Astyanax mexicanus: one gene and its partner. The main gene of each other region encodes a partner of the protein of the gene in region 2 in a complex. Links are inferred from orthologs where the notes say so. Each region holds a gene or a part of one and is shown on either strand. Other genes may lie near its edges.

The links.
Region 1: snrpg (region 2) and sf3b5 share a complex: the UniProt entries of both Homo sapiens proteins name them as parts of the minor spliceosome. The link is inferred for Astyanax mexicanus from reciprocal best matches to the Homo sapiens genes SNRPG and SF3B5.

Annotation. Positions count from the first base shown.
Region 1 is NC_064414.1:43,717,263-43,724,426, reverse strand, and holds the start of sf3b5 (splicing factor 3B subunit 5), read right to left. Parts: upstream 3,097-7,164; 5' UTR 2,894-3,096; intron 1-2,893. UniProt on the Homo sapiens protein: Component of the 17S U2 SnRNP complex of the spliceosome, a large ribonucleoprotein complex that removes introns from transcribed pre-mRNAs.
Region 2 is NC_064420.1:6,264,260-6,272,357, reverse strand, and holds the start of snrpg (small nuclear ribonucleoprotein G), read right to left. Parts: upstream 3,044-8,098; 5' UTR 2,489-3,043; coding exon 2,457-2,488; intron 1,416-2,456; coding exon 1,393-1,415; intron 402-1,392; coding exon 277-401; intron 1-276. Other genes in the region: si:ch211-148l7.4 (oocyte zinc finger protein XlCOF6), read right to left, coding at 6,678-8,098. UniProt on the Homo sapiens protein: Plays a role in pre-mRNA splicing as a core component of the spliceosomal U1, U2, U4 and U5 small nuclear ribonucleoproteins (snRNPs), the building blocks of the spliceosome.

The sequences.
Region 1 (7,164 bases), on a different chromosome or scaffold from region 2:
TTCGTTGGGTGGATGACAAAATTGAAACTGAAAAAGACTAATAACTCCAAGGCAGCAAAATGGAAGAAATGACCTGGAAAATGGGCAGCCAGACAAAAAGCGCCCCTGAAGCGGCTGCTGGTCCAGCACACTTCATAACCTTCACAGGGCCAGGTGCCAAACACCTCCCGAGATAAGAAATATGACAATAACTCCCTTAAGCATCACTTAAGTGCACAAACGTCCTAAATTTAACCATCCACTATCTTTTTTCCAGTCTTTACCAAACTGATCCACATGTAGCACATCATTTTGTGACTGTAAATTTAAACACACTATGAAGGAGACTTTTCTATGATTCTATGAACAAAACATATAAGTGTGTAATGTTGAAACATGTTAAAAGTTAAATGCATTTAGCTTTTACTTGAGAAGTCAGTTTGCAGTACAAAAAAACAAACAGTATTGTTTTAAAGCAATTTCAGCTTTGTTAAAACACAACATGGATACATTTAGTATTGGTTTTTTTTCCCCCTCATTTTCTTCCGAATTTACACGGCCAATTACCCAACCCACTCATTAGGACTCCCCCTATCATTAGTAATGAATACACCATGAGTCTGCTTCTTTTCGAGCTGCTGCTGATGCAGCATTGCCGAGCAGCCAGCGCGCTCGGAGGACAGCGCAGCTTCTCGGTTCCGGAACATCAGCTCACAGACGCCCTGTGCTGCAGACCATTACAGTCCATTATTAAAATGACCATACATATTATATGTGTTTTCTTTGTGTTCTATAGTGTTGTGTAGAATCCTAAATAGAACCTTTTGGATGAAATGAACGAAGTGTTTTGCTTGGGGAAAACTGAACAATGTAGTCCAACAAAAGAACCCAATGCCATCACTAAAGAACGGGAGTAGCAGCTTAATGGTTGGGTACTGCTTTTCCTCTTAAAGGACAAGAGCAGACTGCCATTAGAGTTGGACTGAGAACAAGTGTTCTCGAGAACAATAGCAGTAGGCCAATCACAGATACCAATCAAACCTGGTAATGAATCATCATACAGCACCTTTCGCAATGTTAAACCAGCAAAGAGTAAACATGCCTCCAACCCCTTCTGCAGGATTTATCACCAATTACTAGAAACGTTGGGTTGAAGTAATTGCTGCTTGAGGGGGTCACAAGATGTTTAATGCTGGGTAATTTTTCTTAATTTATAAATGCAAAGACTTAAACATACATTGTTTATCTTTAATTTGCTTTATTTCATATCTTATTTATTTTATATTATCTTGGTTTATATGATCTATTATATATGGTTTGGTATTTATATTTTATACATCCTATCATTATTATTTAAACTCTCAGTTTCCCCTGTATATCAAGTTTAAGGACCTAATTGTCAATCTTTGCAAGAGCAAAGTATTTGTTCAAGAACTTGAGTTGAGTAGTGAATGGTTGTGTTTATGAAGTTACATGTAGTTAAATTTCCCTCTTTTTTTCAATTTGTAACAAAATTCAGTTGGATTGTAACATTTGCCTATCACGATAAATTAAATTATCAACTTATCAATACAATAAACATTACAAAAAACATTATTGTTTGTACACATGTATGACAGTGTATATATGTATAATGGTCTTAAAATGATAAAATTGTTTATCACAAACATTTTTGGGACCACATATGGTTCACAAAGAAAATCGTATCCTGACAGGGCTATAAAAAAGTTTTACCTCCAATTTTCTACTTACAAATTTAGACTCAAACGGTCAGACTCAAAACTGAACTGTTAAACGTTACACTGAATAAAATTACCTTTAGGCTTTGTTTATTTTGGTTACTCCAATTCAATAGAGTAGGGGTGTGCCATATCGTATCGTACGCAATAATACCGCCACAATTTTTCGATATTGTGAGCGATATTATACCCTGAAATATCGTGCCATATCACCCACCCCCAATTATCACATCAAGGTACAACTTTTATGCTGTTTTTAGCAAAAGAAAAAAAATCACACTGTTCTCATTTCCATTTTATATCTACTAGAGACAGATTATATCTGTCCAGTATCATTTATTTTACTTTAATCCTGGACATATGGAGATATGTAGAACACATTATTAGTACAATGACATTCTGGATTAATTTTGGATTCTGGAGTAATTTTTGGTATTTTTTAAAATCTCAGTTAATGGTGTGCCATATCATATCACATGCAATAAAATAAATAATATTCATTTTCGTGCACTAGTGTAGTAGTTCTTGACATCATTTGAATCATGAATTTTTATTCAGTATTTCGTCATATCGCCAAGAGCATCGTTATCGCGAAAATACCATGAAATATCGTGATATTATTTTAGGGCCATATCGCCCACCCCTACAATAGAGGCTGTATATGCGTTTCTTGCCAGTCTTTACAGCAAGTTAACAGCAAAAATAGGTGTTAGTAAATGATTGTAAAATTACAGAGAGATCACAGCGTATTACTTTATAATAAGAATAGTAATTAATATTTTACAGCTTTCGTAGAGTAAGTTTTGGCCTAAATAAATTCACAATAACTTTGTAAATATTCTTAAAAAAAAAACAAAAAAACATTAACTTTAACGTATGAATAATAACCAAAATAAGAAAGCAAATGAAGTCCATTGCCCAGATGCCCTTATTCTTCTTTTGGTCAGTTAAACTCTGGATGCGGTCGCAATAAATCCGCTCAGCAGCAGCAGCAGAGTAATAAATCTATATTTTATACCTAAACTCCTAATAGCTAAATATCCTAAGAAACTCTGACTCACAATATACACTGCGGCAGCGCCGAGCTCTCCATTATCTCAGCTTAGCATTAGCTCAGCGGCTAAACACGGTCTATTTAACGACATAACATTTAAAACAGGAGATTAAAATCATACCTGGTTGCAGAAATAACCGCTGTGTTGTCTTATCTCACAGTTCTTCCGTTAAAAGTAGATGTTTCGCCTTTATCTCTAAAGTTTCAGAGCTGTTTAGAGATGAAGCGAAAGCTACGAAATGAAGCAGTGCGGGGAGGAACCAGTAACTCTTAAAACGCGCCGAGGTGCAACACAGATCACCCTCCGACAGTTCCGCCGCTCTCCCCGTGTCTCCTCCCACTGCATAAACAATCCGCTATATTATAGTTTCTACAAACAGATTAAATATTCAACACATATTAAGCTACTGTACATATTACAGCTAAACTCACTGCTTACAAAATGTAAATAGGCAAAAAAAGATGAACAATTACATGTATTATTTAGTATTTGCACTACTGTTATTTACCATTTTTACTGTCATTCCATCTCGATCACCATCAATATTGCACTATTGTCTTACGTATGTTTATTGTGTCTTGCTGTATTGAACATATAGTGTCTCCCACTCTTTTATATTATAATTATATATCTATTTTTACTTATTTACTTATATTTATATATCTATTCCTCCCCCACACCACTGCACCTTGTTTTTGTCTCATGTATGTCTATTTGTGTCCCTGCTGTATTGTACACATAGTGTCTCCCATTCTTTCTTTTATTTTATCTATTATCTGTACTTGCTGTAAAATTGGGAAGGAGAGTAACGTAATTTCAATTCTCTGTATGTCCTGTACATATGCAGTATTGACAATAAAACTACTTGACTTGACTTGACTTGTTATGTTTAGTTTTGTACTTAATAACTGTAATATTTGTTGTAGCTTACATGAAACGTACACAATATAAAACATAAAATACAGAATACAGTCAAAAGTCAGGACACGCCTTCTTATTCAATGTTTTTATTTATTTATTTTTTTTGTTTATTCATTTTCTACAATGTAGATTAATATTAAAGACATAAAAACAATCAAGAGACACATATGGAATTAGGTAGTAAACAAAAAAAAGTGGCATAAAATCCCCTGACATAAACCCAACTTTACTTTTGTACTGTATACATGTAATATTTTTTTATACATAAAAAGTAAACAATATAAAACAAAATACAGGATGCATTTATTTATTTATTTATCTTCTACAATGTAGATTAATGTTAAAGACATTAAAACAATTAAGGAACACATATGAATTTATGTAGTAAACAAAAAAAGTGTTTGTTCTCCACAATCCCCTGACCTAAACCTGATCAGCTGAGATGGGTAAAAAACGTGTGAAAGAAAAAAAATAAAGCAGCAATTATTTTTCAGCACCTCATAAAGACACTGAAATTTAAATACCAAGAGTGTGGCACTTAAAATAATCTAAAGTATAAAACATATTCTGGTTTGTTAAACTTCTTTTTACTAAATAATTCTGCATGTGCTCCTGTAAAGCTTTAATATAGTATTCAATATTAAATTTAAAATGAATGTAAAAATATCATAAAAAAGGAAGAAAACACATTAAATGAGAAAAGGTTTGTGCACACTTTTGAATGGTGCTGTATATGCACTATTACTACAGGATATGTAAGATAGAGAGCTTACATATTGCTATATACAGTATTATATTATATTATATTATATTATATTATATTATATTATATTATATTATTAACTGCATTTTTATTCATATCTACACAATCTACAAGATTTCCTTTATTGTGAAAAGTACATTGAGCTGCAATGTGGTTCAGTAAGCTCTTGTTATTTGTAACAGATTTTGCAACAACAATGGAGCACATGTTATAGACACTTATAGTTCTTGTGTTTTTGTTTAAAATGAGAGTTTGTGACATCATGTTTGATACATATCAAGTAAGTAAAGCAACTTCAGAGTTATTATGAAAATAGCAGAGAACAGACTGAGAGGAGTTAATAATATTATATTATTTAATAATGTATATATTCTAGGGGTAACTAAGGAGGCAAAATGGGCTGAATGTTAGTATTTTTTACCTACATTTAAACAAATATAGTGAAAACAGTGTGTGTAACACAGCGTACACTGCACTATATCCTTTTATCGTTTTGTTTTCTCTGCACTTCAGGCTGAAGAGTGAGGTTATAAATGTGCTCACTGGGTTTTTACTTTGTTTAGCTGCTGGCACAAAGCAAACCGTGGCTCTTTGCCATGGATGAATTCCGGCCACATTTGTTTACCTCAGACTTTATTGTCTGAATCAGATTGGCCCTGTATTTTATCAGTCTCTGCAGGAGTACCTTTAAACCTAAAAATGCTGAAATAGTCAAAGCTGGAGACTTCTCTATATTTAATTCAGTTTCAGTCAAGACTGACATCAAGGAGATGTTTTTGCTGCTTTATTAACAAGCAGAAAATATTTATCACATACGTTTAATGGAAATACACAAAAGCCTCAAAATGAAAACATAATATTAGATGTTTTACTATAAAAAGTCCATCCTTACCTTCATTACAGTTTTTACTTTTTAGACCCACCTTACACTGTATGTTTAGTTTTAAATGTTTTAAATGGAGCATTTTCTGCAGCTCAGCTTCTCACATTCAGGTCACTGAGGTCTGGACGCATTGTTCTGAGAACAGCTTTAACAGTTTGATTTAATCAAATGTTCTTTTTCTTTATATATTTTTTTCTTTTTAATTTTCTCACATACAGCTTGTTCACCTCCACCTCCATCCTTTCATCTTCTCACAGATGAAGTACAGACACAAACAACTGTTGTTGTTTTTGATTTCATCTGCTCTCTAACAGATGAAAGCTTTAGATGTGTATATGCTGGGGGACTTATTTTAACCTCATTAAATATACAGTATATGGCCAAATACTGTGACATGAGTCATGGGATAGCAGTATATACATTGATAAGTAGTGCTACTTCAGTGGACAGCTTGGGACCTTCCATAATTGTAATAGTTGCGAGGTGTTACCTTGTCAGTGTCCATGTGAAGAGAAAAGTGGAAGAAATCACATCCACATTCAGTGCAGTAGACCCCACACACATTTCTCACAGGCCAGTGCAGCATTCTTTAGCTTTCAAAATAATAATGGGACAGAATATTCATTCCTGTCTCATGAACTTTGGCATGACCTCAGTGTGTTTGTGGACACCTCTTCTAATAAATGCATTCAGTTGAAGTACTTTAGTTTAAATAGTGTAGGATTATAAAGCTACCAGCATTGAGCTATTGAGCAGTGGAATTGTGTTTGGGAATCTCTGGATTAATCCAATACTTTTGCAATGAGTTGCTTAATGCAACCAAAACCTCACAGCAGTGCTACATACAAATCTAGTAGAAATACTTTCCTGGACAGCAGAGACAGTTAGTCCAACAAAAGCAGGATAAACTGTTTTAATACGCCTGATTTCAGGAGAAACAATGCATGAGCTAGGGTTGCAATATTTTATATTATCCCTCTATGGCATGTTTTTTGGATGTTTGGATTATTTTTTGGATTATAATTTTTTGGATTATTACACTGTTCGTTCAGTTTTTTAATCATTCTTTTTCATATTTATGGCTAATTTGTTTTCATTTACTCATTAAAAACAGTGTTTTTTTATTTGCTGCCTCAGGGCAACAATACGCTGCTCAACCACAACCAAGGCCGTTACACTAAATCAGCGGTTCCTAAATGCTCTGATTGATATATCAAGAGAGATCAACAAAACCTACCAACAAAGAAAAATATCATGCAATAGAGGATTGACATATAGTGTATAATCAGAACAATACATCATTATATCTGTTTTATCTGGTGTGTTTTACTGCCTCAACACTAAACCGAACCTCCATCTGCAGGGTTGTCTGAAACAGGCCTCAGCCTGATGGGCCCACTGGGTTTATCTATTAGGCACAGCAGTTACAGCTCATCAAGTGTTGTCTTGTCTTTGGGGGCGTAATGTCTGAGGGCAAATCTGATTTCCATCCTGATGAGATGAGTCTGCCTGTCTTTCGCCAATCCTGCTTTCATTCTTCTAGTGAAGAGGGATGTTTACATGCACAACATGTTGTTAAGATTCCTCTCATAAGAAAAGCCATTTATTAAACTTAATAAAACACCGGCAAAAATAAACGTGATGCCTATTACACTAATGACAAGCATAGGAGCCTTCACTGTGTGAGACAGAGAGATAGAGGAAACAGTTCCAAGAGGAATGAGTATCAAAAAGGAGCCATTTTCAGGGACATTTTTCATCTGAATGGCTTTCCTCTCTCATTAATGCAATTTAGAGGAAATGAAAGAATGCATTTCATTAGCG
Region 2 (8,098 bases):
CAATCACTAAGCAATAATTCATTTCTACTAAGTGCATATTAGACAGCTTTAAATAAAATGTGAACTTGCAATATCACATCTGGAAATTGTGAAATGGAGAAATAAAACAAACATTGTATTTAGTGCGTCTTAACCCGTTTGGGAAAATTATTTAAGGATTTGTTTTTTTGGATAAACAAATTTAAGGCCTTTTAAGACTAAGTATTTACAGATATCCTGATTTTACAAGTTGTGCAAACAGAAGCAGATAGAGTGTTCGAGACAGAGATTACTTACCACCATGCCAATGGTGTTCTGTTGTCCCCCTGGGGACATTTCTAAGCAGTCATCCACCACCAGATTCATAAAGGGGTCAAATCCTCTGAGGATACCTTGGACATGCCGACCACCATTAAGCTTTACTAAACAAGAAAAGAGAGAAAAGAGGGAAATATTTATAAAAATGTATAAAAGTAATACAACATTCTAAAAAATAGTGTAAATAGATCATGTGTACAGAAGATACAAAACATCAGTGCAGTATGGGCAACACTATCCTTCCAATATAAAAATCTGCTTTAGACAAGCAATGTAATAATTAATGTAATATGCTTAATAACAAAACACATCAAAGTTAGTTGGATGCAACCTATATTATGTCTCCTAACATTAGATTATTTTCTACCTAGAAACATCACAATGGTAACTTGGGCACAGGGGCAGGTTAAGTGGAGATTTCAGGTCATGCATAGAAAGAATGTGGTATAAGCAACGATAGTGTTACTCTTTACAGTTTAAAATATGTGCATCCAGACTGACCTACGAATAAATCTTGTTACTGAGGATGGTAAATGCAATTGTTGTGGGTCAGGGTAAGGTTTTTCAGTTTAATTTTCTGACCAGTTGCAGACAAATGTGAAAGAACTTAAATATATGGACTGTTCCAATCATTTCAGAGTCCTCACCAAGGTTTGTCTGTTACACTGTGCACATTTAGTCCAGTTAGTCTTGATTAGTTTCACAACGCAGTTTAGTGACTGAACACACTAAAGAACTTTGTCTTTGATAATAAGAACATTCACAACAATCACAAACATGGGCTGTTATCCCCTATACTTTACACAGATAGTTTTGTAGACTGTGGTCAGTTCTACAAGTTGCTTTTCCAGGATTACATTCAGATTCCTTTATTTTATGTAATCTGTTGTACCCACACTGCTGGCTTGAGGCTAAATTCAAAAACTGAAAACGTAAAAGTGTAAAAACTTTTATTTATTTATTTTTTTCCACATTTGGTGTAGTGGAGAAGAAATGGGATTTTATCTATTTAAGTATATATATATATATATATATATATATATATAATTTCAGATTCAGCCTAACAATGAAAAACGTGACTTAAATGACACTCACATGACAGCTTCTTGTCCATAAACCTACAAAAAGGAAAACAAAGAGTTTAATAACAGACAGCGCATTTATGCTGAATCAACATTTTTAACCTCTGATGCCCTCAAACAATACTGACCGATATCAGAACTGATTTTTCAGTTTTACGTTGATTCAATGATAGTGTTATACTTAATGTTTGTATTGAAATTTATTAACATTAAATACATGGGTACAATACCAGTCAAATGTTTGGACACAATCATTCCCAATGTTTATCTTTATTTTGATTATCTTCTACATTGTAGATTAATACTAAAGCCATGAAAACAATCAAGGGACACATATAGGATCACATAGTAAACAGTAAAAGCAGCAACTATTGTTTAGCACCTCTAGGAAGTGCTTCAAGGCGCTGAAAAAACTATTCCAGGTGATTCTCCTCCCTTATGAAAACACTGAGATTAAAATACAAAGAGTATGCAGATCTGTCCTCAAAGATAAATGTGATACTTAGAAGAATCTAAAGTAGCACACATATTCTGTTTTATTTAACACATTTTTTGTTTACAGAATCATTCTGCGTGTGTTCCTGTATAGCTTTAATGTCTTCAATAGTAAATGTAAAATGTAAAAATTATAAAAACAAGAAAAATCCCATTGAATGAGAAGAGATGTTTGTAAACTTTTGACTGGTACTGTATATTTGTTTGTGTTCTATTCATACAGGTTGTAGTGTGTCTGGGAGTGTAGAACAGCTCCATCCATTCAAACGTTAATTCAATGTTCTCTGCTGTATGTTGAAGCTAATTAGGTTTATTGGGTCCGAATCTAAGCTTTAATTAAACTGTATGAGATTAATTAGAGTAGGATGTAAAGAGCTGCGGTGTTTCTATTGTCCGATCTTTTAGTTCAAATGGTTTTACTGGGGTTTACACTCAGCCTCTGCTACCGGGGTTGGTTAGCTTATCTATTAGCTTCAGGCTAAATGACCGCTAATTACAATACACAGCTACAGAAACCCAATGCTGAAAATAAATATATATGATATATCCCAGCTAGCGCTAATTCCGCCTGTTAGTACTCACTTCTTCAGCTCTGGAGGATGAGCTTTACTCATGTTTAATCAGCGCGGGATGTTCAGAAGCAGCAGAAGCAGCAACGGCGGAGAGATGAGCGTCGGAACTGCGCTAAAACACTGAAACACGCGCCTCACAGCGGAGGTGACGCTTCTCCCGGACTTCGGCTGCGGCCTGTACCGCCCCCTGCTGCAGCGGCGCCGCTATTACCACACACTGCCTCACCCACAGAAGCAGAAAACCCAGGACTTTAGAAACTGTATTAAAATACTTTTGGGGTAAAACCAGGAAATGAATAGCTTTACACAGCTAAAAATTAACCTCTGTGCAGCTAAAACTAAGGCTGGTTTAATTGTAGCCACGCAAAGCTTTAATTTTAAGTGCGTGGAGCTTTAATTTAAGACGTGTGAAGCTTTTAGGTCAGACTGTTGCATAGGTAGTAAAATTTACTGACTGTTAAAAATAAACTGTTGTGTTTAAGGTATAAGACAAGCGTGTGATTGGGGAGAGCATAAGGGGGGGGGGGGGGGCGGCTCGCTGTGTGTGTGTGTGGGGTGGATAGAAAAGAAGGCTCGCTGTGTGTGTGAGGTGGAGAGGGCGCAGGGTGTGTGTGTGTTCAGCCCGAGTGCTATTTTTAGCCTGTTAGCTAGTTAGCTCGCTAGCCTGTTGTTATTTTGGTGTGGTTGCAGCTGACTGTTTCAGCAATAAAGCATTGACTGTAAACGTCTTTCTCATTTATCCTTTCACCACATCCAGCCAGATGCTATAATATCTTTTTAAAAAAGGAAAGAAAAAAAATAAAACAGTGGACTGGAAATTGTAATGATTTAAGATTACTTGTTACTGAAAAAAAATGGTCAGACACTGAACACACAAACAATCTATACTGGAAGGACTAAACAAAGTCAATGAAATCTGACGTTATCATGTTGCCAATGGGAAAAAGTATCTAATCATGCTGTAGCCATGAGGGTGGGAGGCCCTGGAAACATCTCAAGAACAGGAACACCCCTGTCTACAGCTACTTTTATAATTTACTGAAGCCTTCAAAAAGTCTTCCTTGCAAACCTTTCAAAATACAAATGTACTGTCACACTTGTTAAATAGCTGTACTTACCAGATACTGTGACAAAAAAATAAATAAAAAATTACAGCACCTTTGCTGAAACCGACCATAGAAAATGCTGTTTTCAAGTTACTGCAATATTATAAAAGGTCTTGCACAAAATCTAATAATATTGATAATGAGAAATAGCAATGCTAATAATAATGCATGTATTAACACTAAATTTAAAAAATAATATTAAATGTCAATCATTTAAGCTGTAGTAAAACAAAATAAAATAAAAATCAGCACAAAATGTAACAGATATAGCCACTCACACTTAAAGAGCTTCCTTTTTCCAGTTGGTTTATGCGATAAAACCAGAGACCTTATTAATGAGGAGACAGGCCACTGACCACTATATGAATAGGATTTATTGTAACGCTAACCATGGCGCCTGTTTATGAATAAAGTCCCACCCTTATGTAAAAAGAATCAGTGTTTTTGTGCAGAATTTTAAAAGTAATGTTAAATGATGTAAAAAAAAATGGATTAGAGTATTTTGGTCTATCACCACCCAAACCTGGTCATTGTGACGTAAACTCCGAATTTCCATTCCTATTTTAAATACACTAAATGTACAAAAGTATTTATGTACACTAAAGTACAAAATTATATTAAAGATGTAATGTTAAATACAGCCAGGATAATCAAGCTGAAAAAAGAGAGAGAAACTTATTGGTCTACTCAGAAATATATTTTTGTAGTTTTATATTATCATGAGGAAAAAGAATACACAGAAAACCAAACATTTGGTACATTAATGTTACATTTTTGGCTCCAGCCATAACAAAAATGAATGAAAAAAAAAAGCCAAAACCAAACAATACTTATGTAACGTAATCCCTGTGGACAAATCCACCCCAAAAAAAAAAATCACATCATGAGACACAGCAGTAAATATAAAGAGGTATTCAGTTTCTTTTTGCCCATAATTTCAGGGTTCACGATGATATGAAAACATGATAAATGAAGAGTTTAGGAATATAATGCTTTCCACAATAATTTAACTGCATAAGGTTGCTGCAAAGATGCTGTAAACCACTGTCCAGAACACAGGACCTAAACTTGGCCCAAATAATAGCAGTGGACTTAGTCTGGCTCAACTGACCCATGGTCCAGTTCATTCAGACCAATTACAGGTAGTTGAGTCAAACTATCGTCACCCAATAAACAACAGAAGAAGAAGTATTGAAGAAGTGTTGTGCCAAAATCTGACTTCTTGTCCAGACATGTCATGCCGCAGTATGGGTACAACAGATTATGCTGGTGATGCCTGTATCATAACTGTAGATTAACCCTTTTTTATAAACAGAAATAAATGGAATATGAGGGGAATCTCTTACAACCATTCTCCTATATGGCATGCCTGCACTCGAAAGAAAGTCAATTTATAGTGGGGGCAGCATTTAGCACAACTCCGGGAAAGACAACTAACATAACTAAATGGACAGAATACAATGTAAGAAACACACCAACCTTGGCGTGAAAACGCCCTACACTGTAACAGCACTTGAACATGCTGAAACAAGGCACTACTTAAGATGTGCATGGTAAGGCACAGAGGTAAAATCGGCAATGTGAAAGACATTTCAGGTTTGCGTGTGTTCTATATATGTACAGGATATAACTATTAAACAGAAATACAGATCATCGCTAACAAAAGCTATAAAAAAGCATATAATCAACCACGAAAAAGTTGTCAATCGAAAAGGATAAAAAAAAAATGCAGTCCTACACAATGACTGTAGAAAAACAGACACTGTGGTGCTATTCCCTTCCATTCTACATAAATAATGACAAGAGCATCCTCCATTGTGTCAAACTTGCAACCAGAGTCAAGGGGTGGGACCAAACTCGCCTACTCAAGTATCTCAGACTGCCTTCATTGAGATCACAGCACAGACTAAAGAACAAAAAGCAAAAAGGGTTTTGTAGAACCCCAGTTTAAACAGTAAGTGTAGTATTCCAGTGGTAAACGGGAAGCTTTTGTATTTTATTACCAAACAATTTCCATTACAGCACCAGAGCTTAGCTCAGTTTCATTCTGTTGACTACTGAGACAAAGCGAAGATACTACAGCTACTAAAAGTCTTTAGAGGAGGAAAATTTAATGGAAGACCTTGGCGCGGCTGTTTCTGTCATTGAAACGTACAGGGATGGATGGATCTACGCTGCACCATATCTCTGGAGGTGTTAGACCTATGATGACTTCATATTTCACAAATGTTGCCCTGTCCATGCTTTTATACAGTCATTGCTCCTACAATAAAATCCTCAAATTTAGTAGTACCACACCAACAGAACTATGTTAATCAAATTCAACAACTATCAACAGCAGAAAGAAATCGTTCATGTTATTCGACAGTGTACAGTTTTTACATTCAGCCTGTGTATTCAGTGAACATGAGTGGCTTTGGTAAATCACAGCAAAAAAGCATACATTCATCATTCATCATTTAGAAATGTTGTTTGGCAATCTCTTAACATAACACAAACTGTTCGAAACTTAATGTCAAAGGAAAAAACAAGACAACTCAAGTATTCTGGGTGTAAAAGCCCTTTCACACTGAGTCCAATATGTTTGGACTAACGAAGCATAGCTAGCCTCACTACTATACTATAGCTTCCCACACTAATGAGTTAGATGTTCCCTTAATAATGATTACTTATGTGGAGAAGAAGAGAGCAGAAGTGGACAGAGAGCAGAGAAACAGAAGAAAGGTTTACATATATGACAGTTGTGGAATTTCTGCATTGTCAGATGTGTTAAAATCAGGCAGACCTATCAGATATAAGGTCTGTTGATTTTATACTCTGATCAATGTGCTAATTATGAAAAGGCAGAAGATAATGGAAATATGTGATGCTAATGCTTGGTAATAAACTACAGCTTCCCTAGTTAATGAGCTATAGCTTCCCTCATTAAAGAACAACAGCTTCCCTTGCTAATGAGAACTTGTGAGTGAAACAGAAAGAGTAGACATTTATCTGAAAGAGCTAGAAAGAGCTGTGGAGTATGAGCCCTGTTTGCACATTTGCATATGTGAGCTCCATGTGTATCCAAAAATATGTACTCTGTGTGAAAGGGCCTTAATTCTGACTAGATGTTACTTTGTGCCTTTTCAATCACTAAGTTGGGCATCATCATCTTTCTCATCATCATTGCTGCAATAAAAGTGTGTTTGGCAGTGCTGCAGAAAAGTATCCAGGTCCACATATGCCTCCTTACATGGCACACAGTGATAGACTCTATTCACAGAAGACCCTGCAATCTGAGGTAAAGCAATCCCACCAGTACACACGCTGCAGTGGTTTGGGGTGTGTGTGGACTGGTGGATGTCTTCATGGTGTAGCAGGGCAGACTTGGTCGTAAAGACCTCTTCACACGATGGGCAAGGGAACTCTCCGTCTTCATCTTCGTCTTCATCCTCATCTTCATCCTTATCCTGAGTACGAGCATCTTCCTTGTCTGCGATCTCCTGCCTTCTGTTTTTTGAAACAAAGCACTTTTTCACATGTTTGTTTGTCTTCTTATCAACAGGTTTAGACTTCTTTGAGGCTCTGGAGGTTAGTTTAGATCCTTTGGTTGTTTTGAGGTCTTTGGAGGTTTCGCTGGCTTTTTGAGTTTTGTCTGATTTGGCGCTGTTTGAAAGGTGGGTCTGATAGTGGCTGCTGTAGCTCTTGAAGTGTGCCCAGCGGGTGAGATGGTGCAGGAACACTTTGCCACAGTGCAGGCACGGGTACGTCTCGCCTCTTTGCCTGCTTTGCCGTCGCTTCCTGTGGCTCCTCTGCTGTCTCTTTGTGGAAGTCTTTCGCCGGTGCTCCTCTTTCCTGTGCCGGTACAGCATAGAGGTCTGAGGGAAAACCTTGTCACATGATCGACATGCAAATAACGTGCCTTTAGAACCTTGGACATGCTGCGTCACCTTCTTTTTGTTCTTTTTTACACTGTTTTGGTGATAAATGCGCTGATGGCAACTTAGACCCTGGGCAGTGCGGAATGTTTTATGGCATGAAGGACAAGTTACTGGCTTGTGATTGATCCCTGAAGTCGATGGTGGAATTGAAGCATAGGAGGGAGTGGGTGTGTCATCTGTAGACATGTGAGTCACAGTAGAAGGGGCTGGCTGACACCCTGCACCCTGCTGGTGGTACAGCAGCTCCTGCTTGTGGCTGAAGGCTTTTCCACACGGGGCGCAGGCATAGGGATTGCCGTCATGTTTGTTACGTCTATGGTTAAAATGGTAAGGCTGCTGCTTTGAACTACGAAGGCTGGAGACCTTAGCCGGACAGGAGGAGCATGTAGTGCCCTTCTGCAGCTTCCCTCTACACACCTGGCATGTTGAAGAGCTCTTATGACATCTGTGCATCTGAAGGGTAGAAGCCAGAGAGAACTTCTGGCCACAGTGCTGGCAGTGGTGTGGCTTACGCAGTGTGCGCTCTTTTTGCTGCTGCTGCTGACTGCAGGCCACGCTGGACATGTCTGAGGCGTGAATATGATCCTTGCCGCTGGCTTTACTGATGGATGGGCTGCTGGACTGCT